3 linked regions of the Stegostoma tigrinum genome follow. The protein of the gene in region 1 purifies or fractionates together with the protein of each later gene. This does not show direct contact. Links are inferred from orthologs where the notes say so. Each region holds a gene or a part of one and is shown on either strand. Other genes may lie near its edges.

Region 1 (7,843 bases):
GGAAGTAGACTTAGGAGAAGGAAGGGAAGCAGCTGGGGCAGTTAATTATAGTCTTCATCTTTGTCTGTGAGGTTCTCACACAGCATTTATCTAAATTACGCTATCTCGCACATGGAGGGGTCCAAATTTAACTTGCTAGGCTCAATAACTACAGGGAAGAGGAAGGTTGAAAAAAAAAAGATGAGTGCTGCAAACAGCAAACTGAAAATGATAATACTTCCTGTTACCAGCAAACAGAAGTGGTAAAAAGGACTGTTGAAAAACTGAGAGTCATAACATGTCTGTACTGCCCACAGAGGAGGCCTGGTTAGAACATGAAGTTATGTTGCTCACATAACACATAGCTCACAGTTACACAGCAGCACATGTCTGTGTTCAGTAAAACTACATATGGATGCAACCAAATAAGATATGCGACTCACTCAATGTGTTCATCAGCCATAACAGGATTCACAAGAGGTCCTTGGAAGTTTCTCATGATCAAGCTTCCTTTGCATCAGGTCAACAATATGACCTATGACCTACATGCTCATCTTGCAGGTATTGTGCTACTCCCTTTGGAGCTCTTTTCTAAAATTATTTGCCTTCCGCAAACTCAAGCTCCTTGAAAGTCTGTATTTTTAACAAAGCATTTGCTTGTTCCAGGCACCCCACCTTCCCAAATATTTCTGAAGCACTGGCACCTTGTGCACAGATGCTATTTTATGTCAATATAAATTGTAAACTGTTTTAACTCACAGAGTAGTATGATTATAGTGACAGATTACAAAGAATGGTACAAACAAACTACAATGTGCTGAAAATTTCACAGGAGTTGATGTCAGCAGCAGACACAAAAAGATAGGTAATAATGGGAACTGCAGATGCTGGAGAATCCAAGATAACAAAGTGTGGAGCTGGATGAACACAGCAGGCCAAGCAGCATCTCAGGAGCACAAAAGCTGACATGTCGGGCCTAGACACTTCATCAGAAAAGGGGGAGGGGGAGAGGGAACTGGAATAAATAGGGAGAGAGGGGGAGGCAGACCAAAGATGGAGAGAAAAGAAGATAGGTAGAGAGGAGAGTATAGGTGAAGAGGTAGGGAGGGGATAGGTCAGTCCAGGGAAGACGGACAGGTCAAGGAGGCGGGATGAGGCGGTAGGTAGGAAATGGAGGTGCGGCTTGAGGTGGGAGGAAGGGATGGGTGAGAGGAAGAACAGGTTAGGGAAGCGGAGACAGGCTGGGCTGGTTTTGGGATGCAGTGGGGGGAGGGGTCGAGCTGGGTTAGCTTTGTGATGCTGTGGGGGGAGGGGAAGAACTGGGCTGGTTTTGGGATGCGGTGGGGGAAGGGGAGATTTTGAAGCTGGTGAAGTCCACATTGATACCATTGGGCTGCAGGGTTCCCAAGCAGAATATGAGTTGCTGTTCTTGCAACCTTCAGGTGGCCCATGATGGACATGTCGTCTGAGGAATGGGAGGGGGAGTTGTTTGTTGTGAACTGAGCGGAGGTGTTCTGCAAAGCGGTCCCCAAGCCTCCACTTGGTTTCCCCAATGTAGAGGTAGCCACACCGGCTACAATGGATACAATATACCACGTTGGCAGATGTTCAGGTGAACATCTGCATGATATGGAAGGTCATCTTGGGGCCAGGGATGGAGGTGTGGGGGCAAGTGTAGCAGTTCCGGCAGTTGCAGGGGAAGGTGCCGGGTGTGGTGGGGTTGGAGGGGACTGTGGAGCGGACAAGGGAGTCACGGAGAGAGTGGTCTCTCCGGAAGGCAGACAAGGGTGGGGATGGAAAAATGGCTTGGGAGGTGGGGTCGGATTGTAGATGGCAGAAGTGTCGGAGGATGATGCGTTGTATCCGGAGGTTGGTGGGGTGGTATGAGAGAACGAGGGGGATCCTCTGGGGGCGGTTGTGGCGGGGGCGCGGTGTGAAGAATGTGTTGTGGGAAATGCGGGAGACGCAGTCAAGGGCGTTCTCGACCACTGCGGAGGGAAAGTTGCGGTCCTGGAAGAACGTGGACATCTGGGATGTGCGGGAGTGGAATGCTTCATCCTGGGAGCTGATGCGGCGGAGGCGGAGGAACCCCTTCCCCTCACTGCACCCAAAACCAGCCCAATTCTTCTCCCCGCAATGCATCACAAAACCAACCCTGCTCGACCCCTCCCCCCACTGCATCCCAAAATCAGCATAGCCTGTTTCCGCTTCCCTAACCTGTTCTTCCTCCCACCCATCCCTTCCTCCCACCCATCCCTTCCTCCCACCTCAAGCCGCACCTCCATTTCCTACCTACCGCCTCATCCCGCCTCCTTGACCTGTCCGTTTTACTTGGACTGACCTATCCCCTCCCTACCTCCCCACCTATACTCTCCTCTCCAACTATCTTCTTTTCTCTCCATCTTTGGTCCGCCTCCCCCTCTCTCCCTATTTATTCCAGTTCCCTCTCCCCATCCCCCTCTCTGATGAAGGGTCTAGGCCTGAAACGTCAGCTTTTGTGCTCCTGAGATGCTGCTTGGCCTGCTGTGTTCATCCAGCTCCACACTTTTGTTAACAAAAAAATAGGTTCATGTGTTAAAAAGGGTCTTTTTTCTGGAACTCTTGAAAACTGCAAGATCTATTTAAATTATCAACAAAGGGAAAAATATGTTTAGAAGGGGTATATACCCTTTGACAAGTTGTCTGTCAAACTTCAGAAGAAGGAGTTGTTGATCCACTATCTTAAACATTCAATCTCTCCACCTGCAATTGCACAGTGACAGCAGAGTGTAACATTTACGAGTTGCACACCAGGCCACTTCTGACAGCAGCTTCCTGTGAGGTCCAAAGTGGACAAATAGGGCAGCAGAAGCATGGCAGCAGCACCACTTGCAAGCCCTAAGCCTCCAATACCATTCTGACTTAGAACTACATAACCATTCCCTTCACTGCAGCTGGGTCAAAATCATGGAGTCTACCTAGCAGTCTTCAGTGGTTAATAAGACAGTTCACCACTACCTTCATCTTGAGGGAAATAAGCGATGGGCAGCAAACTCATGAAGTTTTAAAGAAGCATGAACACTTGTTTTCCTTAGATTAGTTCACAGGTCGGCGCAACATCGAGGGCCGAAGGGCCTGTTCTGCGCTGTCTTGTTCTATGTTCTATGTTGCCAGACCTGCAATTTCTGTTTTTGCTTCAAATCTCTAGCATCCACACAGAGAGTGGTGGGTACGTGCAATGGGCTGCCAGCAGTATTAGTGGAGTCAAATACTTTTAGAGACTAAAGTGACTCTTGGATGGTCCCATGGAGAATAGTAAAATGTAGGGTATGCAGGGTAGATTGATTTTAGTACGATAATACAGCGGTGCCAAAGGGTCTGTACTGCTCTATGTTCTTAGAGCTTGTTTCTGTGCCATATGACTCTTTGATCCAACCTGTCCACGATAGCCAGGTTTCCGAAACTGAAGTAGGTCCACACTTGTGTTTGTCCATATTCATCTAAACCTTTCCTATCCATTTACCTGACCAAATGTCTTGTAAATATTGTAATTGTGCATGCCTCCACCACTCCATAAATTCTGTGAAAAGGTTGCCTCTCCAGTTCCATTTAAATCTTTCCCCTCTCACCTGAAACCTAAGCCCTCTAGTTTTGGACTCCCCTACCGTAGGGAAAAGGTCTTGGCTATTCACCTGATGATTTTATAAATCTCTGTAAGGTCACCCTCAGCCTATCCAACCTCTCGTTATAGCTCAAATTTTCCACTCTCTGTAACATCCTTGCAAATCTTTTTTATACCCTCTCCAGTTTAATAACATCCTTCCTGTAGCAGAGCAACCAGATTTGTACACAACTCTGTACAAATATAGCATTACCATTGTTTTGCATAGTTGTAACAATGTGTCAACTCGTACACAATAATCTGATCAATGAAAACAAAAGTGCCAAATACTTTGATAACAAAGTGTGGAGCTGGATGAACACAGCAGGCCAAGTAGCATCTGAGGAGCACAAAAGCTGATGTTTCGGGCCTAGACCCTTCATCAGAAAAGGTCATCGTTTGTCTTCCTAAGATGCTGCTTGGCCTGCTGTGTTCATCCAGCTCCACACTTTGTTATGTCGGATTCTCCAGCATCTGCAGTTCCCATTATCTCTGTGCCAAATACTTTCGTCATCGCCCTGTCGAGCTGTGATGCCACTTTCAAGGTACTATCTACCAACACCCTCAAGTCTCTTTGGTCGACAGCATCGACAAGGCTCTACCAATAACTGTGCAAGTCCTGCGCTGGTTTGTCTCACGTTTATCTGCGTTACACTCCATCTGCCATTCCTATTTTCTTTGTTTTATCACATGAATGATGGTTTTTCTAGTTTGACAAGTTGAGGACAAGTTTAGGATAGCAGTTACTGGTAGGGGTTGGCAGGAGTGTGGATTAAGGCCAAGCCTCGGGAACCATCTAGAACCTGTCACGACTGAGTTGAAATTCTAGCTGGATGACTCAAGCCTACCTTCCTGGTCATCTCCGCTCCTCTTATTCCGGGAATGCAAATTCGAGCTCAGGCCATTCCAAGACAGAAAAAAAGATAAATGATTTATTTTTGATTTTTTTTCATGACTTAGGAGACCGGTGTTACTACGTCGCTTTTGGGGCATTGTGGGTGGGGGAGGAGGGGGGCTCGGGGCCGTCGGTTGCTCAGCAACCGTCTATTTCATACAGCTGCCTCACAACAGCCGCCGTCTCGAATGACGCAATGACGCAGGGGGTGGAGCACCGTCGTCCCCTCCCCCACGGTGAAGAGGTGGTGGCGGAAGCACGGCTGCGCAGTTCGGGGAGGCCGGTCGGTTGTGCTGGTGACGCGCACGCGCGTCGTGCGGGGTCCTTCCCTCCCCACCAACCCAGCCACCTCCCCGCCTCCCTCAAGACTCGGTTCGCTCGCGCTCCTTCACTTTCTGGGTGTCGGTGAGAGTAATGGCGGAAGGCGGCGTCCCGGACCTAGAGAGCCAGAAGAACGAGATCGGGAACTTGTTGAATACCTCGCTCAAGAAAGGGGATTCGTGGTAGGGGCAACTGTCGGGTTTTTGGGGGTGGGGGTAGTCGTCGCAGCGGTGATTTAACGCCTCAGGGTCAGGGTGAAGGCCGTGGGTAAGCCCCATCCCCGTCGTTCCCCACTAACCTACTGTCCCCTTAGTTGGGGGATCTGAAGCAAGCCTTTGGGATAAAATACGGCCCAGGGTGAGCCGGGCCGTGAGGGTCAAATCCAGGGCAGAGCTGGGGGTAGGGAGGTGGCCGGTTTGCCATGTGATGGGTATAGGCCTCGGGATTCCGCTAGTGAACCGACCCGGGAAACCCCGGGCCCAGTGCCGACCCGCCGCGCGCACAGCACCCCATGCCCATGTCGGTGCAACAGCGTGGCCTCAAAAACCGGTAGATTAGAACATTGTCCAGCCACGAAGACTCTTATTCCCGAAGGAGGCTGTTTAAAAGGTTACTTTCAACCTTGGAGCGGATATTTCGAAATATTAAGGTCTCTGATCTAACTGTGTTTATGTTGAGATTTGATTGCTCGCCAGCGGTCCGCAGCACGCACGCTTATAACATTTTAATGTAAATGACACTGCAGTTTTGTGTGAACTTTATGTTCCACGCACAACAGTTTTCTGACGGTAGGGTGATTGCCAAAACATTCTGTTTTTTGCTTGCCCCATTTTTTGCTAGTTCCTTTAATTTTTTTAAGAATGTAATTACACTTCCAATCTGTTATTTTAAAAAAACTTTACTTTGACAAGACATTTTTACTATCTATTAAGTGTTGGTCTTGGTCAATCATTTTAAGAATTTTATCAATGTGGGTCTGAGTTTGTTCGACTTGGAGCAGAAGAGGAGGCCATCTTTTAGCAGGTTATAAATCCTGAATGCATTTAAGAATTTTCACTTTAAGCACAGCTCTTTCTTGCTGGACCAGCTGTTCTATTGTGGGAATTAGTTCCACTCAGTTCATCCAAGTATTTTGCTGTTGCAGGACTTCCATGCTAAAGCAGTTTAGAATTAAGTGTGCATATATTCCCTGAGCAATTTTTAAAGAGCACTAACACAATATCATGTCTATTTACCTTTAACTGGCAGGCTCACTTTACTGTTGCAAACAGAAACGAAGGGAAGAAAGAGGGCATTGCTCCAGGCCACCCTTCTGCACTGACAGCTGTCATTCAGCTAAGCATGAGAAAATCTACACTGGGGAGTAGAATGTTTTTCCAGTTTTGTTACCCACTGTCGATGCAACACATCCCAAGGCACAGTCCAATGTAGATTAAACTATTATTCCCACAAAATACACCTTTAATTTAGCACTTTTAATGTTACTTATTCATCGCTGAATAGCTGCTAGCTTATACCAAATTACAGGCAGCTTTTGTGGTGTAAACATGCAGTGCCCAAGAAAAAGGACTGAAGCTGTGAAGACAAATTTCTGTATCAAATTTTTATATTGAGTGAAGAGAAGGAGCTGTGATCCTAGAAATCTGAATGAAATTGATGCCAAGTTTCGGAAGGGAAGGGTGATAAGATTGAATAGGAAACAGTAAGGTAGTAATTATGCTGCTAGGTTAGTAATCCAGACTTCTGAGCTAGTGATCTTGAGTACTGAGTTCAAATTTAGTGAATGAATAAATCAGTAGTTTCAGTAATGGAGTTCATGTAACTTCTGGAGTGTCTTGGGGGGAAAAAATTGATTATGAATGTTTTACATGGGAGGAAATTGCCTTTATTCTGTCTAACCTATAAGTGACTCCAGACCAACGAAAATGTGGTTCACTTTTCAATTCCCGTCTTAAAAGAACAAACAAGGTTTTCAACCAAAACAGTTAGGTATGAACGAATAAGTGCACCTGGTATTGTCATTGGTACCCATTCAGTGAATGACTGGAAAGAGGCAACACTTCCCACTGTAACCTATTTTCATGTAGAGGAAAGAAAAGAAAATATTTTCATTGTACAAATTTTTTCTCTAGTAGTCTTGCGAGCTGTTTATCTGTGCCTTAGATCTGGTAGCATTTCAGTCAAAAAGCTGTGTATTCAAATCTTCAAAACAGATTTGAGCATTAAGTCTATTTTGATGTGTCTTGTGCTCTGGGAGAATGCTGTGTTTGCTTCAGGGGTACCATCTTCTGGATGAGTCATAAACAGTCTGAACTCTTGGGTGGGTATAAACCATCTCTTTGCGCTATTCTGGGAAGAGCAGGTGAGTTGTCCGATAGTCCAAGACAATGTTCATCCCTCATATGACCCTTTATTTTGTAATTGTGGTTGAATTTTGCTCTCATTTTGTCTCTAACTGTATATCCTTGCCCCTCTGCTCTGTCATTGGTAGCAGAAGTTTGAAAACATCTGATAGTTTCACTGTGGTCCTCTTGATTTGTTTCTCTTACTGGATTTAAAAACTCTAGAAATTGATTTTTAAATCCATTTTGGTCGACTTTTATGACTTTACTCACTGTCTAAAATCGCTTGCGTTGTATATCTTGCTCACTCCCTGTTGTTTGTTGCAACCAAGCTAATATAACTGTTTTGCAAATACACATAATTGTTTAACTCTGTCACCATATCACTCAAATGCTCCATTAATTATGCTTCCTGTATACTTGTTTCTAAATTACATTTTCCTTGAAATAAAACACTTCCCAAAATTCTTGACCATGTTCAGTTCAACTTGTGCGGGCACAATCTGAACTTTCATGGTCATACTTTGATGTGCTTAGTACTTTAAGACTCTGTTCTGTTGTATAACATTGTTACTAGGTTCTATTACGTATTTAGTGACACCAGAAACTTGTTGTCTTCATGCTTTTAGATGTTGCACATCTTGAAAATTCTGAAGGGAAGTATTT
Region 2 (7,949 bases), on another chromosome or scaffold:
ATGGGTTGGTAGGAATCGGCTGATTCAGAACAGCCCGAAGTTGAAGAAACATGGTGATGAACCATATTACTGGTCTGTAGAGCTAGAAAGTTATAGAGATAGGAAGGCCTGGGATTTAAACAGGAAAATCAATGTTGGCGAATGGGAGACAGTCCAAGCCAGCATGCAAAAGTATGGTAGATGAATAGAAGACAGAATGGGTTATGAAAGGAGCAACAGAGCTTTGGATATTCTTATCTTTATGGGTGACCTGCTAGGATGGTATTGACGCACTCAGTTTGGAGAAAACAAGAGAATGGGTAAGAGTTTCAGCAACGGATAGAAATGTAACTATCAGAAGACATGGAACAATCGATTGTCTGACAAATTAGTTATATTGACATTACTTTGTTAACAAATTAGTTATACTTGACATTAAATTGTTAATGTTTGATGTAATAAATTATAAGTCTCAGCTTAGTTGAAATATTAAAAATAGTGTTTATAAAGTGACCTTAGCGTGCAGGTTCATAGTTCCTTGAAAGTGCAGTCGCAGGTAGACAGTGTAGTGAAGAAGGCATTTGGTATGCTTGCCTTTATTGGTCACTGCATTGCGTAAAGGAGTCGGGAGGTCAGGTTGCGGCTGCACAGGACATTAGTTAGGCCACTTTTGGAATACAGCATTTGATTCAGGTCTCCTATTTATGGGAAAGAGCTGCGAAACTTGAAAGGGTTCAGATAAGAATTACAAGGATGTTGCCAGGCTTGGACGTTTGAACTAAAGGGAGAGGCTGAATAGGCTGGGGCTATTTTCCATGGAGCATCGGAGGCTGAGGGGTGACCTTATAGAAGTTTATAAAATCATGAGGGGCATGGATAGGGAGAATAGTCAGATCTTTTTCTCAATGTAGGAGAGTCCAAAACTAGAGGGCATAAGTTTAAGATGAGAGGGGAAAGCATTACAAAGGACCTGAAGAGCAACGTTTTCACATAGAGGGTGGTTTGTGTATGGAACGAGCTGTCAGAGGAATTGGTGGAGGCTGAAAAGGCTTTTGGATGGGTATGTGTATTGGAAGAGTTTAGAGGGACATGGGCCAAATGCTGGCAAATGGGACTAGGTTAATTTAGGAAAACTGGTTGGCATGGACGAGTTGAACTGAAGGGTCTGTTTCCGTGCTTTATATCCCAATGACCCTAATTCTGAAGTTGTGGCTTTGAACTCCTCATCCAGGCTAAAAACCTAAAACAGAGCTAAGGCTGCGCTACACTGTTAGAGGTGCCATCCTTCAGACAAAATGTTAAACAGATCCCTGTTCTGCATAATCCACTGTGATTCCATGGTGTTTCTTTTAAAAAGGAGGTCTCCTGGATAACATACTTTCATTAACTTCTACCACTAGTGGTACTGATTATCTGGTTATTTATCACCAATCCTATTTACCTTCGCTTAGCACAAGATAATTATTACAGTAATATGCTTCAAAGTGATTTGATGTTCATGACTCATATAGAAATTATAGTGCATCTTTAACATTAGCATTTATGTTTCTGTCATACTGGAACCATCAAGTCAAAACACAATGTTCTTACCATTTCCACTGGACCTTCTGTAATCTTCTCTTTTCAAATATTTAGCCAAGTTCCTTTTATATTATCAACAGTACCTCAATAACCCCGTCTTGCAAAGTATTCCATGGTCTAATGACTGTGAAAATGTTTCTTTTAACTTTTAATTTTGTTCTCGCAATGGCAGGGTTGAGTATGTACTCCCTTGTTATTAATTCATGATCCAGTTGAAACAATATTTCACTACTTGCCACATCAAGACTATTTATACTTATGAAAACCCATTACATTGCAGTTAATCTTCACTCTTTTGGGGGAAAAATCCACTGTTTCAAAGCTTGCTCTGTAATTATAATTTCTTGTTTCTCATCATTCTGTAGCCATTTGTGATTCTGATGTTCTTCCAATCACAATACTCCAGCTGCAAGCTAATTATCGCCTTGCACTAATTTAGTATCACTTTCTTCTTACATTTTATGCTCCTCTGCATACAAACCCAGAATGAAAATGGCCTTTTATTGCATTTTGCAGCCAGAATCCTTTCCTAAATAGGCTAATCTCTATTCAACTTGGATCTCCTGCGTTCCTCCACTCTCTTAAGAGTCCTTACATCGAATTATATAGGACTTACAGCACAGAAACAGACAAGTCAATTGGATCAATTTCATCAACCTGAAATTCCTTTGTTATAATGTCTTGCTTTTAAAGCCTCATCCAAATTTAACTTCAGTCACATGTGGTATTGAAACCTGTAAATTTGACCCTCAAAATTTTTGTCACTTCTACTACAGTAACACCACTGTATGCTCCCTCTCCTGCGTACTTCAAAGGGACATTTTTTTGTTGAAACACACTGATCTTCACATCATAGCCATTATCTCTCCCGTGGCAAATACTCAAACAGTCACAAGAGGTGTAACACCTTCCCCTTACCCACAGTCCCACCCCGCCACCTGCAATCATTGTCCAAGCTCTTTCAAGGTGCTGCAACAATTTACCTGTACTACTTTTAATTTAGTATGTTATATTTACTACCTGTATTGTGGTACGTTTAACACCAAGGAGCCAAATGCAGAATGAGTGACCATTTTGTGGAATGCCTCTGCCTCAGCCCACAAGCTTCTGCTTTCTTGAAAACTTATTTGATCTTGTTAATATATCAGTCTTTTGCCAGTGGAGCTCGAGAAACATCTCATCTTCTGATTTGGCACTTTTTACAGGCTTTTGAACTGGATATTGAGTTCAACAATTTCAGACCATGAGCACTGTCCCTCCATCCTGATTTTCATTTTTTTTGCCATGTGCTGTTATTGTTTCTGCGCTTTTGCTCTTGGTCAGAGCTGCTTATTATTCTTCCATTCAGGCTGGATTAATGCTTTGGTTCTTCACCATATCCATTAATTTGCTCTTTGGCTTTGTTTCATAACATCTTTGTTATTTAAATTCTCCTTTGCTTTTGCTCATCCTCTCCATCTGACATTTCAGTGGCACTTAGCCCATAACATTTCCAGCTTCCTTCAGCTCAACAAAAGAATCACATCTGAATCAAAACAAAATCTGTTTCTCTCACAACAGATACTACAAGATCAGTTGAGCATTTCCAGCTGTTTCTGTTTTTAACCACAACTCAAGCGACTCAATTCTAATTTCATTAGATGGTACCACAAGGATCTGGTTCAAGTCTCACTCCAGGGTTGACATACAAAACTCATGCCCCTTAGTCCACTGCAGTTCTAGGTTAAATTGTGCTGATTGAGGGTTTGTTTTTCAGGTAAACTGAGGACAGGCCTATCTGTTTGGGTGAATGTAAACTAATCCATTGAATTATTCTATGGAGGAACAAGAGGTTTGTTCTTGACATGCTGGCTGATATTTATCCTTCAATCAACATCATGTTAACAGGGCTATCTGGCCTTTGTCACCTTGCTGTTTGTGAGATCTTGCTGTGTGCAAACTGGCTGTCTTATTTCTTACATCAAAACAGGAACCACACTTCAGAAGTATTTCACAGTGTGAGATATGCTTTGAGATGTCTGGCGGTCATGGAAAGCATGATGTAAATGTCTTTCCTTCTTTATTTACTACATATTTGAGTCATTTTTTTGTAATCTTGGAGGTTTTAATGATGCCCTCTCTAGCATTATTGACTCACTGTTAGAGAAGATCCAACTGAAAAAATCTTTATCACAACATCATATCAGAAATTGTCGAATCAATGCCAATGTTTTCTCTCTGCGAGACATACAGTCTAATCACACTCTTGAAATCACTCCCCTTATCTTTCAACATTCATTTTTCTCAAGTAAGTTATCAATTTCCCTTCTTTAAAATAGTTTTGAGATGTCATGGTTTAAAAAGCTTTGCTTCACTCTTTGGAAAGGAGCCTTGTTGGTGCCTGTTAATGTCAGTAGCTTGCCATATTTCTTGCCATATATCCTACATGCATTCCAAATAAGTCTGTAATTTTAACATCATGCTTGCTTTACAATCCTCCAAGATCACTGCGCTTTCCCAAATGTTGGTTTTTTTTTGCATTCCCAATTTTTAAGTTATTATATTGTTGACAATATTGTTTCCTCTTCAGGAACGTGGGTTTTAAGTTCTGGAATTCTCAACCCAAAACTTACTGCATCTCCCTCCTCTTTACAATGCTGCTTAAAATTTATCTCCTTGACTCAGCATTTAAACACACTTCCAAACACAATTTATCAGTTTTTTTACTGCTCATAACATTCTACTACATTAAAAAGACATTCTCTAGCCTGAATTGACTAAACATTGTGACTTTCATAATTGTGAAGATACATATGTGAACTTAAAATTAAAGTATCTGTAGGGCAACTTTCGTTGAGTCACAGCGTTGCTATAGACCCCTTAAAGGGCTGGAAGTCATCAAATGAAGAATGAGCGTCTTGAATGATTAATAGTAATTAAGAATTGATTACTAAGCAAAGGGTCTCGGGGCGCAGTCGTTGAAACCCTACTTCTGAGCCAGGAGACCTGGACTCAAGTTCTACCTGCTTCAGAGGTGTACACTAACATCTCTAATCAAGATGATTACAAGATATCTACAGACTGATCAATCGGTGTGGTCTGGTGATTGGGAGATGCTAGCTAGACCCTACGGACTCTTGTGGTGCAGTGGTAATGTCCCTGCCTCAAAGCTCGGAAACCCTGGTTCAAATTCCTCCAGAAGTGTACAATAAGCAGACACCTCTGAGCAGGTTCATTCGGTAATATTTTGATTACTAACCGATTTTCGTTAAGAAGAGCAGGGCTGCTGACATTCAGCAGATCTCCCTAGGATGGAGATTGTCTCCCCGTTGCTATGGGAGGGAGAGGAGGGCCGGAAGTGAAGACTGGTTGCTAGGAGGGTGTGATGTCAGTGCGCGGCCCGCGCAGGCGCAGAAGTGGGACTGGCGATGGCGGAGTGGTGTGTCTGCCGTCGTTGCTGAATCTTAGTGACTCGCTGGCCAGCTCATTTTCACATCGTCCCTTCTTTAGATACGACGTAAGGGATCCTGCCGAGCTTATCGCGATGTGTCTAACCGGAAACGCTTGTATTTTCTTTTTGGGTCTGCGGGTGGGTGAGGAGTTTGGATACTGTTAGGCCTGGAAGTTGGATTGGGCCTACCGTCCACTCCAGTCTAATTCAGCAGCAAATGTCCGGTCCATCTTTTTTGCAGCTGCAGCTGCAGCCTAGTCCTAGTCCTTCGGTGATGGTGAGGAGACACTATGGAGGCATAGTGAAAATGACGCTCTGAGCTAGTAATCCAGCAAGCCTGGCTGATGCTGTGAGGCTTTGGTTTTATATTCCATCCAAGTGACTGGTGGAATACCTGTTCAGTTATTCAAACCTGGAATCTAAAGCTAACCTCAATGGGGTCCATGGCAACCATAATCAATGTTCTCAAAAATTCACTTGGTTTTATGAGGAAAATAGGTTTGCCATCCTTCTCTGGTTTGATTTACGTAATACTCCGCACCTACAGCAATATGGAACAAAAACAGAAGATGCTGAAAACGTTCAATAGGTCTGGCAACATCTGTGAAGAAACAAAAAAAGTTAATGTTTTGGCACTGATGATCCTTCTCCAGAACAGATAATATGGTTTACTCTTAACTACCCTCAGAAATGGCCTAGCAATCCGCTTGGCGAAATAGCAATTAGGGATCCACAGTAAAGTTTGGCCTTGCCAGTGGTGCCTGTATCTCAAGGGAAAGAATTATAGTTTGTTGGTTTGTTTGTCCATTTACAGCCTTCTTTCATGCTATAGCACTGGTGCTTCTGTCACTCCAAAAGTTTTCGACCGGTCCCCCTCCCCTATAATAGTCTCTCTGTGAAAACAGCAATGGCTATAAGTATGTGGATGTCTGGGAGAGAGCTACTGCAAATGTTCATCACTCAACCTGCCACATTCTGCTTTTTTGCTCTATTCCAGAAGCCCTCAAAACTAAGTGAATCTAGACAACTCCCTGCTGCACTTATGTTGATGTAGTGGCTGGAGAGAAGAGATAAATGCTTAAAGTCATGTGTTTGAATCCTCGTTTTTGGATTTGTGTGCTTACACTTTAGTGAGAGTGTGCAGGCTCAATGTTGGAACAGGCAATATATTCCACAATTACCATGCTGAATGCTGTTTTTAGCTGATAGTGTTCTCAGCTTGAAATTATAAAACTTGTATGATGTATGCAGTTTTACCAGTTTTGGAGTTTTGCTGTTGTACAAAATGGATGTTATAAGCCAAGAATGTAGTTGACTTAAGACTGACCCAGTATTTCAATTCAAAGATAAAATTTTTAAGGAGTTCTAATTTCTAATGTGATACTTTACTGATGGATTCTCAGCAGGGACATAATGACTTGTTTGTAGGTAGTAGCATTTTTAATAGATGGGTTGTATGGTTTTTGACTCTGGATTTTGAAGCATGGTTTTAAAATTCATATTGGTTTGTTTTTAAACTGATAAATCATTCCAGACATGCGTATGGAACTGTGGCCCTGCTTTCTGTGCCTTGTGTTACAAATTTGCCTCATGGTAGTGATGGGGTGTAATATTTTGATAAAATTGCATGCCATTGAACATTTTGCAGTAAGTTTTTTAACCATTTCCCCAGAACACTTCAAAAAATTTAATATTTGAGTTGTGTTCACTTTTTAACCAATTTTGACAAATGTTGAGCCAGGTATTCTGTTTTGTGCAGAGCATCTTTGTAAATTTGAAAATTCCTTTTGCAATTACATGAATTACTCAACATTTGAATGAGATTGCAGTAATTAAGATTACCAAAATTTGAGGGATCAGTGACACTCTCAGAATGTAGGATGTTAATTGTGCACAGTTTAATTTTACTTAAATGACTTGTTGCAACAGTTTACTAGAAAGTAGTTTAAAATAGTATGTTTTTGTGGTTCAAGGCATTTAAGAGTGCTGTACACTGGATATGTAACTGCACACTTAAAGGCTCCCAACTGCAGTCACTAGAGATTAGAGCAGCACTGTGGAGGCCAAGCACTCATGTAGCATGGTTCACTTTATTGCTTTTTGATTCAGTTGTTTTATAGACCAAAATATTACTGGACTGCTAATGTTCCAGATATGTCTGGACAAAAATCAGTTGCAATATTCCCATCGACATATGGAGCATTGCTTGCTCAAGACTGCCCAACCTGTGTAGATGAAGCATCTGTGCAGGTATCAGTCTGTGTCTCTGACAGTCCTACGTGGAGGTTAAACACAGGCAACTGAAGAGGCAAAAAGCTAAACATCCCATTTGTGACAGATTTTGCAGACCTGACAGTGAACAGTTTAGTCACTTCAGGACCACAACATTGGAGTGGAAGAACGTCTTGCTGTATTTCGAATGAATGCCTAAGAAGGATCGGTGAAGGGGATAGGTTAGTGGCCTGCTTATTTTGATTGCAGAGTGATACCTAGTATGGAACCAAAGGAAACTATATTCTTTGATATTCACACAAACAATGTGGGATAAGAACAGCAACGTTTGGTGAGTGTTGATGGTTCTGAGCCATGATAATTATTAGTTCACTTAAGTTTTGGAAGTGAACTAAAATGAAAAGTTAAAAGCAATATTGTTTTTGGGTTTTCTCCTTTGCCTTTTCAGAAATGTTCTCCTTAAAAGCATTGGCTTTCAAATTGTCTCAGTATTCAACTCAAGTATCGATTTATTCATGAGGGTTTGATGCAATGTGGCAGAGTGCTATTTGGCTGCATTATTAGCTTGTTGTCCGGCTAACACTTATTGCCTGTCCCCAGTTTCCCTTGAGAAGGTGGTGGTAAGCTGCCTTCTTGAATAGTTGCAGTCCTTGTACTGTCAGTTGACCCACAATACTGTTGGGATGGAAATCCAGCGTGTTTGTCCCTGCAGTGTGAAGGAACTAAC
Region 3 (7,872 bases), on another chromosome or scaffold:
GGGAAGATTTAAAAGAGACCTGAGGGGCAACTTTTGCAAACAGAGGGTGGTGCATATATGGAACAAACTGCTAGAGGAAGTAATAGAGGCGAGTACAATTACAACATTTGAAAGTCTTTTGAACAAGTACTTGACGAAGAAATGTTTAGAGGGACTTGGGTCAAATGCTGGCATCATTCATGTGAGCATGGAGTCAATAAAAGGTATTGAATAGTTTGATCAGCAATCATCACATTGAATGGTGGGGCAAGTTCGACAGGCTGAATGACCTACTTCTGTTTTCTTATGACACGATTCCAGCATTGACACCGGGTTTAAGTCCAACAGCAACTTACCCTGTTCAAGTGATATTCATAAAGTCAGGAAGCGTCTATTTAGGATCCCTGTAGCTGAGATGCCTGACCTTCCAACAACAACAGCTGTCTTCCCAAGCGTCAGGTCTGACTGCAAACAGTGGAAAATTTGCCGATTGATTTAAGCTTTGCTACAGCTCCTTGATACCACACTCCACCAAATGCAGCCTTGATGTCAAGGGCTGTCACTCTCCGTTCACCTCTGGAATTCAGCTCTTTTGTCCATGTTTGAACCAATCTTGTAATGAGGGCAGGAACTGAGTGGCCCTGGTGGAACTCAAACAGTGTGTCACTGAGCAGATGCTGCTTGATGGTACTATGAGTGATACTTTCCGTTGCTTTACTGATGATCAAAAGTAGGTTAATGGGATGGTAATTGGCTGGTTGAATTTGATCTGCTTTTTGTGTACCATACACATCTGCACACTTTTCTACATTTTCAGGTCGGTGCCAATGTTGTAGCTGTACTTGAAGAGCTAAGTAGGGAAGTGTTAATTTTAGAGCACAAGTATTATAGCCGGAACGTTATCAAGGCCTGAAGCCTTTGCAGTATCCAGTGCCTCCAACTGTTTCTTGATATTATGTGGAGTGAAGTGAATTGGCTGAAGACTAGTATCTGCGCTGATGTGGACCCCAAGAGGAGGCTGAGATGGATCATCCACTCAGCACTGCTGGCTGAAGATTGCTGCAATTGTTTTAGCCTTATCTCTTGCACTGATGAACTGGTGTCTTCCATCATTAAGGATGGGAATATTTGTGGAGTCTCCTCCTCCAGTCAGTTTTTAATTCACCATCATCATTGGTGGACTGCCGAGCTTAGATCTGGTCCATCTGTTGTGGGACGGCTTACCTCATTTGCTGCTAATATAGTCCGGCCTGCATATAATCCTGTTTGGTAGGTTCACCAGGTTGACACCTCATTTTTAGGTATGCCTGGTGTTGCTCTTGTCATGGCTTCCTACACTCTCCATTGAGCCAGGGTTGATACCCTGGCTGAATGCTAATGATTGAGTGGGGCATATGCCAAGCCATAAGATTGCAGATTATGCTGGAATACAATTATTTTGCTGTTGATGGCCCACATATTCTCAAAGGTGCCCAGTCTTAAGTTGCCAGACTGGTCCCACTTATAACAGTGATAATGCCACACAACATGATAGAGGGTAAGCAGGACCTCATAGGACTATGTGGTGGTCAGTCTTACCAATACTGTCATGGACAGATGCATTTGCAGCCAATCGATCGGAAAGAATGACGTCATGTATCTTTTCCCTCACCACCTGTGGCAGACTCATTCTAGCAGTTACATTATTTTGGATGTGACCAGCTCAATCAGTAGTGTTGCTGCTGAATCCTTAGTGACGGAGGGCAGTATGTGGTAACTAGCTGCAAGTTTCCTTGCCCATGTTTTACCTGCTGCCCTAAGACTTCATGATATCCAGAGTCAATGTTGAGGGCTCCGAGGTCAACTCTATCCCAACTGTATACCACTGCGCCACCACCTCTGTTGGGTCTGTCCTGCTGGTGAAACAGGACATATGTGATGATATTGCCTGGGACATTTACCACATATGACTATGTCAGGCTGTTGCTTGACTAGTTTGTGAGACAGCTCTCCCACTTTTGGTACTTGTCCCAGCTGTTAGTCATTGGAACTTTGCAGTGGCACTAAGGCTTGGTTTTGCTGTTATCGGTGCCTGGGCCAGTGCCAGATGGCCCGTCCCTTTTTACTTCATGGTTGAGAATTCATAACAATTGTTACAACCGAGTGGCTTGTTAGGCCATTTCAGAGGGCAGTTGAGAGTCAACCACATTTCCACAGTTCTGGAGTCACAAGTAGGCCAGACCAGGTGAGAATGACAGAATTCCTTCCCTGAATGTGATTACTGAGCCAGACGGGTTATTTTTCAACAATTGGCAGTGGGTTCATAGACATCAAAAGATTCTTAAAGTTTCAGGTTTTTGTTTATAACATTCAAATTCTGCTGTCTGCCGTGGTAGGATCTGAACCTGTTCTTCAGTACATTAGCTGTGTTTCTGGATTAATTATCTCGTAGTAATATCACTCATTGCCTCACATCCATCAGGTCACTTCAATTTTCCTGAGAGAAAGGATGTAGTCCAACATATTTTTTCTAACATGTAATGTCCAATATCCTGGTCCAATAAGGGCTTTGGATAGCAGATTAACATAACTGCATAATTTACTCCGCTTTATGTATGAGTTACATAGCAGTCCTCACTTTTAAATATGCCGCCATCACAATGAACAACTGTCCTACAGCTGCCAAACAAACCATCATCTCATGTCAGAGTCTACTCTGCAGGACTGTTTACTGTAACACAATGATAATTGATTTTATTGATCTACACTGCTACCTAATTACAACTTTCCATCTCAGATTAATATGAGGTTGCTTCAAAGCACAAGGAACACATTCTAATTTTGTTTTCTTTTACTTCATCAGCTGTTGAGTTAGGGACCTGTCAGCAAATATTCGCATTTACATTTGTGTCTCCCATGGTTCAAATCTTATCATACTCGGCTGTGGAATCATAGGCTGTACCAGAGAGTTAGTCAGAGCCCTTGGCTAAGCTTTCATAACAGAAATGAAGGGTTGGTGCACTTTTAGAGATCTGTGTTACAGATAAGGTGTTAAAATTAGTCCTTGTCTATCATTATGAGCGAGCTTAAAATATTCCACATTGTTATTTCAAAAAACAGCAGATTTTATATACTGGCTAGCGGTTACCTCTTAAACCAACATGTAATAATGGGAAAGGTTATCATTTTGCTTCGGGAAATTGCTGTGTTCAAATTGTGTGCAACGTTCATTACATTTCTATGCTTCAAAAGTGCTCAGTTGGCTGTAAAATGGAATTGGGATGATGTTGCGAAAGATGGAACCCATGATGTGGAGGTGCTGGTGTTGGAGAGGGGTGGGCAACGTCAGAAGTCACACTACATCGGGTCATCAGACTGCACCTGACGAAGAGGCCGAGCTCCAAAAACATGTGGGATTCCAAATAAACCTGTTGGCCTATACCTGCTGTCATGTGACTTCTGATGTTGTGAAAGATATTATAGAAATTGAAGTAATTTCCTTTTTTCTTTGAATTCATTTGCTTAAACAAACTGAAATTTGAATAGGAATGTAGTTATCTATCTGCCAAGATTTTCTATTTAGTAAAATATGGTTTTTGCTACAGTCATTTGTTGTTGAGGATTATTAATCATTTCCATAGAAATACACTAATTACGAGGAAAGAGAAAACCATGTCAAGTTGTGAGTTGATGCATGATGTTATAACTAGTTTTCGCCAGGAGGTGGTGCTGATTCAGCTTTGATTTTACAGAACTGCAAATTTCTCCAAGTTGTGCAAGTGCTCGTGTTAGACTGGGTTGGAGAAAATCAAGAGTCACACAACACTAGGTTACAGTACAACAGGTTTGTTTGAAATCACAAACTTTCAAAGCTCAGCCACTTCATCAGAAGTGGGAGAGAAGAGCACGCAAACACAGAATTTATAGGCAGATGCATCAAGGGCAGAGAGATCAAAAGATCATACAACTGGTATGCGTGAAGTTTTGAGTAAGAGGTCCTGCAGGAGACCATGAGTGTTGGGTGACAGGAGTGAAGTGCCAACTGCTGAATAGCAAGTGAAAGGATAACCCAAAACCTGATTAAATGGGGTGGAGAGATAATTTCAAAACATTAAAAATAAGCCAAGCTGAAACTGATAGCCAAGGTCTGTACCCATGAAGACAACGTCAACTGTGATCTTGGGTTCATGTTGTGTCACATGCGACCCCATCACACAGCTCAGCATCTGTAAAAACCTTCCTTACTGTGCTGTTTTGACACCATCACCTTAATAACTTATTATGATCGCTCTACCTTGATTAGTTTGTTCAGTTTTGATTTACTTATTACTTTGGTCAGACCATTGGCGTGCGATTCTTACACCTCTCATGCTGTTCCAGTCATTTAGTTTGTCTCCCGTACCACCTTATTTTTAATTTGTTTAAAAATTCCAGTCATTTTCGATATCATTTTGTTTATACAACGTTATGTAACATTCGATCGGCCTTGGACTAGCATAACGTTTCCAGAACATGTTTGACTACGTTAGATAATCTGATGTTGGAAGGAGGGTTGACCATTTGTCAAGCTCTGATAGGCGGGCCCTCCCATATTGGGGCGGGGACCCAGCAGATAGGCGGGGTCAATTCCAAATAAGCCGGGCATGTGGGCGGGCCTCTCGATGGGCTGATCACCCCACACTAATTGGCGGGGCCTTATAGCGGGGCGTTGCCTTTCCTACCGACGGGCGGTGACTTCAGTCACGTGCTGGTCCTTATTGATTGACAGCTCCCTGCCATTGGGGCGGGGCCACGTCGACGTGCGGCGTTTTCCGTACGGACGGGCGGCGCCCTAAATGGGTGGAACCGCGCCCACTGCTTCTTCGCAATGGTTGAGATCGATGTCACTCACGGGGATTTTTTTCCCCCCCACCCATTTCCGGCAGCGCAGCCTGCCGTTGGGCTTATTCCCGCGTCATTTCGAAGTTTGTGTTTGAATCGGGAGTTGATCCTGGCTCGAGCTGCGGAGTCGCTCGCTCAGTGACGGCCGAGTTCCTCTCCTGTGCGGCGAGACTGAGGTGACGAGCACTGTCGTGAGTGTGAGAATACGGGGGCGGATACAGGAGAGGGCGGCCTAGAATTCTCCAGAAAACCTGGAGAAGGGAAAAGGTGGAGAAGTTGCTGGTTAAAACGGAGGCAATAAGTGAGTGAATCAGGAATGAAGAGAGTGAGGGGTGGGAACACGCAGATAGCTTTTCCAATAAGCTCCTTTACGGTGTGTTTACATCGGTGTCTAATCGGTGGTCTGGTACATTCTTCAGGTTTACCGTGAGTGCTGCCGGTCCTCACCGGACGCCTCAGAACTGTCCTGGTGCGGGAGGCGGCCATTCAGTCCATCGTGCCACGGCTGGCCCAATGAGTTGCTGCAGCGGGGCCTAGGATTCAGGCAAGACGTTCGTACTTGATTTCATAAGATCCACGTTTATTGTCGCCGTTTGCACTTTCCTCCAGTGCTCAGCTGAAGTGTTTAGAGCAATATTGAAAGCCTGGGTTTATTTTTGGAGGATGAATTCAATTTGTAAAGTCAAGTGCAATCTAACTGCATTGCATTACTGGTTTTATTGCGGAACGTGCATCTATAAGCATGATGCTCAAAAATGTGTGCTACTTAGTGGTTTTGTTTTGGAGTAAAATTTTGTTCCATCAGAATGAACATTGCAGGGAGGCAGTGCTCTGCATTAGATCATGCAGCTGTGATTTCTGCTTTGCCACCAGTGTTCTAATGAGGCTACTTCTATACAGCAAGCAATCTTTGGTAGTTTCCACAATGGACTCACTTTGCCTCTGTTCTTGAACACAGTAGTGATGGCAGCATCGCTACGATTGGCAGGGGTTTCTTCTTTGTCCCAGATTTTTGATGGAGATGACAGGTAAGCTCTGCCCCTCCCAAGTCAAAAAATTCTGTTCGAATCCCATCTACTACTGCAGCTTTTCCATTCTTCATATGTCTCATGACCACTTTAATTTCTTCCACATTAGGTGGGAGTCCAGGACCGTCTTTGGGGAGTTTGTGGGATTTCCTCAAACACATCCTCCTTGATTGTATCGAAGTTTATATGTTCTTTGAACTATTCTGTCTGTCGGAGGCTTATGTATTTTGTGTCTCAGAAGTGTTCCATCTGTACTTCGTAGCAGTTTGACACCTTGGTGTACAGTCATTACATTGTTGTAGTGGCACTGAAGAAACCTGGGTGCTGTGCTTGTCAGCAAGGAGTTGCATTTACTTAGCTTTCTCAATCCTCCATTGGTGGTTCTTTGTAATTCTGTCTTTTGCTGTTTGAGATCCCTTCTTTGCCTTGCTGGTGATGTTTTGCCAGGCATAGAGAGCTTACCCCTTGATGATGAGATCTTGGATGATGTGGTTACTCTCATCAAACTATTCTTGACGTTTCCTGATCTTGCAGCCGATAGTTTATTTCACAACATGAGGTGATAGCTGTCTTCAGCTCTTTCTAGATTTCCACAATTCCATTGAAATGAGCTCTTTGGTGATTTTTGTTGAAGACATTATTGGAAATTTGCTAGTCTGTTTGGCTGTTGAAGGCTTACAATGTTAAATATTTTAATAAACTGTTTCTTTGTCTTCAGCTGTTTTCTGGTGGCTTATGATGGATGTGGAGGAATGTATAAGCCGGTGGTGCAGATGGCTGCTTGAAGGACCAATCATCAGCTTGGTAATGACGATGTCCCGTTGTCATCATTCAGTCCCAAGACCATAGTCGATCGTAAGCCAGCACTTTAATTGCGTATCCTTCAAGAGGCTTCGAAATTGTCTTTTTGGAGGAACAGTGCATTGATGAATAACAGCTGGTGTTCTGCATTTTTAATGAGTCGGAGAGTCCCCCTGGAATGGCACTCCTCGACTTCTTCCTTTTTGAGTGGTCTCTTTCCAGAGCTCAGGGTCCTTTTTACAATTCTGGTATTGAAGTCTCCAAGCAAAGTAACTTAATATTCCTTTTAGATGTTGCTGAGTATGGTGTTCAGGGTAGAGTAGAACCTGCCTTTAGATTCCTCTATGGCATCAAGGTTTGGAGTAGAGACACTCAGTTGCTTGCTAGTTCTTGGCAAGTTGGAGACAGTCATGAGGTGATTGATGCCAACGGTGAGCTCTTAGAGTTGATTGACAAGTCGTACTTGATTGTGAATCCAATTCCATGTGTCCTGCATTGATCCTTGGGTTTCCTTTCCAGAAGAAGCTGTAACCTTTTCTGTCAGCTGCCCTTCACCTGCTTTTTGAATTTCCTGCAGGGCAGCAATATCAATGTTGAAGTGCCGTTCATACATTCCAGATTCCAAGATTGAAGTTGACTTTGGTTCTTCAGGCTGCAGGTAGATGAACCCACTGGATGTCGTTTTCCAGCCGGGTTGATGATGAAGCAAACTATGTTTCAGGCACTTTATCTAGCCCCCCCTCTACGCAGGGTGAGCAAAATAAATGCGAACAGAGCTGCTCACTTGTGAAGAAAACTGCCAAAATGCCCTTCTATTCCTGGCCCATATGTCGGACTGTGCCGTCTGAAGCTGGGAACTTCAAGATTTCTCAGTCCTGTCCCCATCGTGTCTCACCGATCGCGGAGGTTTGTCTGTGTGTCCTAGATAGATGCCCTGTGTAGGACATCTTTTAACATGGGAATGCCATTGCATTATCAGCAGACACGTGGCCCTTGACAGAGGGTAGATCCAGCACTCGTGGCACAGGGACCTCAGTCAACCCGGTCTGCTCCATGAGCAAATAATTCATGGTTAACAGAAGCAACACCTCCACTTACACTGCTTCCTTGCTGTTAGACATTTTGCTGCTTTCCACATCTATGCTACAGCATAAAACTATTCTGTGAACTGTTTTGTGAGGTAATTTTTGAAAATCTGTCTGTC

The links. The genes of interacting proteins can lie anywhere in the genome.
Region 2: the proteins of usp4 (region 1) and edc3 purify together in Homo sapiens (co-immunoprecipitation; 3 studies listed by BioGRID and IntAct, with this or other methods). This does not show direct contact. The link is inferred for Stegostoma tigrinum from reciprocal best matches to the Homo sapiens genes USP4 and EDC3.
Region 3: the proteins of usp4 (region 1) and DNA endonuclease RBBP8-like purify together in Homo sapiens (affinity purification with western blotting; 3 studies listed by BioGRID, with this or other methods). This does not show direct contact. The link is inferred for Stegostoma tigrinum from reciprocal best matches to the Homo sapiens genes USP4 and RBBP8.

Annotation. Positions count from the first base shown.
Region 1 is NC_081364.1:12,075,116-12,082,958, forward strand, and holds the start of usp4 (ubiquitin carboxyl-terminal hydrolase 4), read left to right. Parts: upstream 1-4,794; 5' UTR 4,795-4,928; coding exon 4,929-5,017; intron 5,018-7,843.
Region 2 is NC_081389.1:17,321,625-17,329,573, reverse strand, and holds the start of edc3 (enhancer of mRNA-decapping protein 3), read left to right. Parts: upstream 1-4,944; 5' UTR 4,945-5,056; intron 5,057-7,949. UniProt on the Homo sapiens protein: Binds single-stranded RNA. Involved in the process of mRNA degradation and in the positive regulation of mRNA decapping. May play a role in spermiogenesis and oogenesis.
Region 3 is NC_081358.1:19,880,565-19,888,436, reverse strand, and holds the start of DNA endonuclease RBBP8-like, read left to right. Parts: upstream 1-4,867; 5' UTR 4,868-5,015; exon of another isoform or gene 5,016-5,140; intron 5,141-5,258; exon of another isoform or gene 5,259-5,390; intron 5,391-6,704; exon of another isoform or gene 6,705-6,722; intron 6,723-7,872. UniProt on the Homo sapiens protein: Endonuclease that cooperates with the MRE11-RAD50-NBN (MRN) complex in DNA-end resection, the first step of double-strand break (DSB) repair through the homologous recombination (HR) pathway.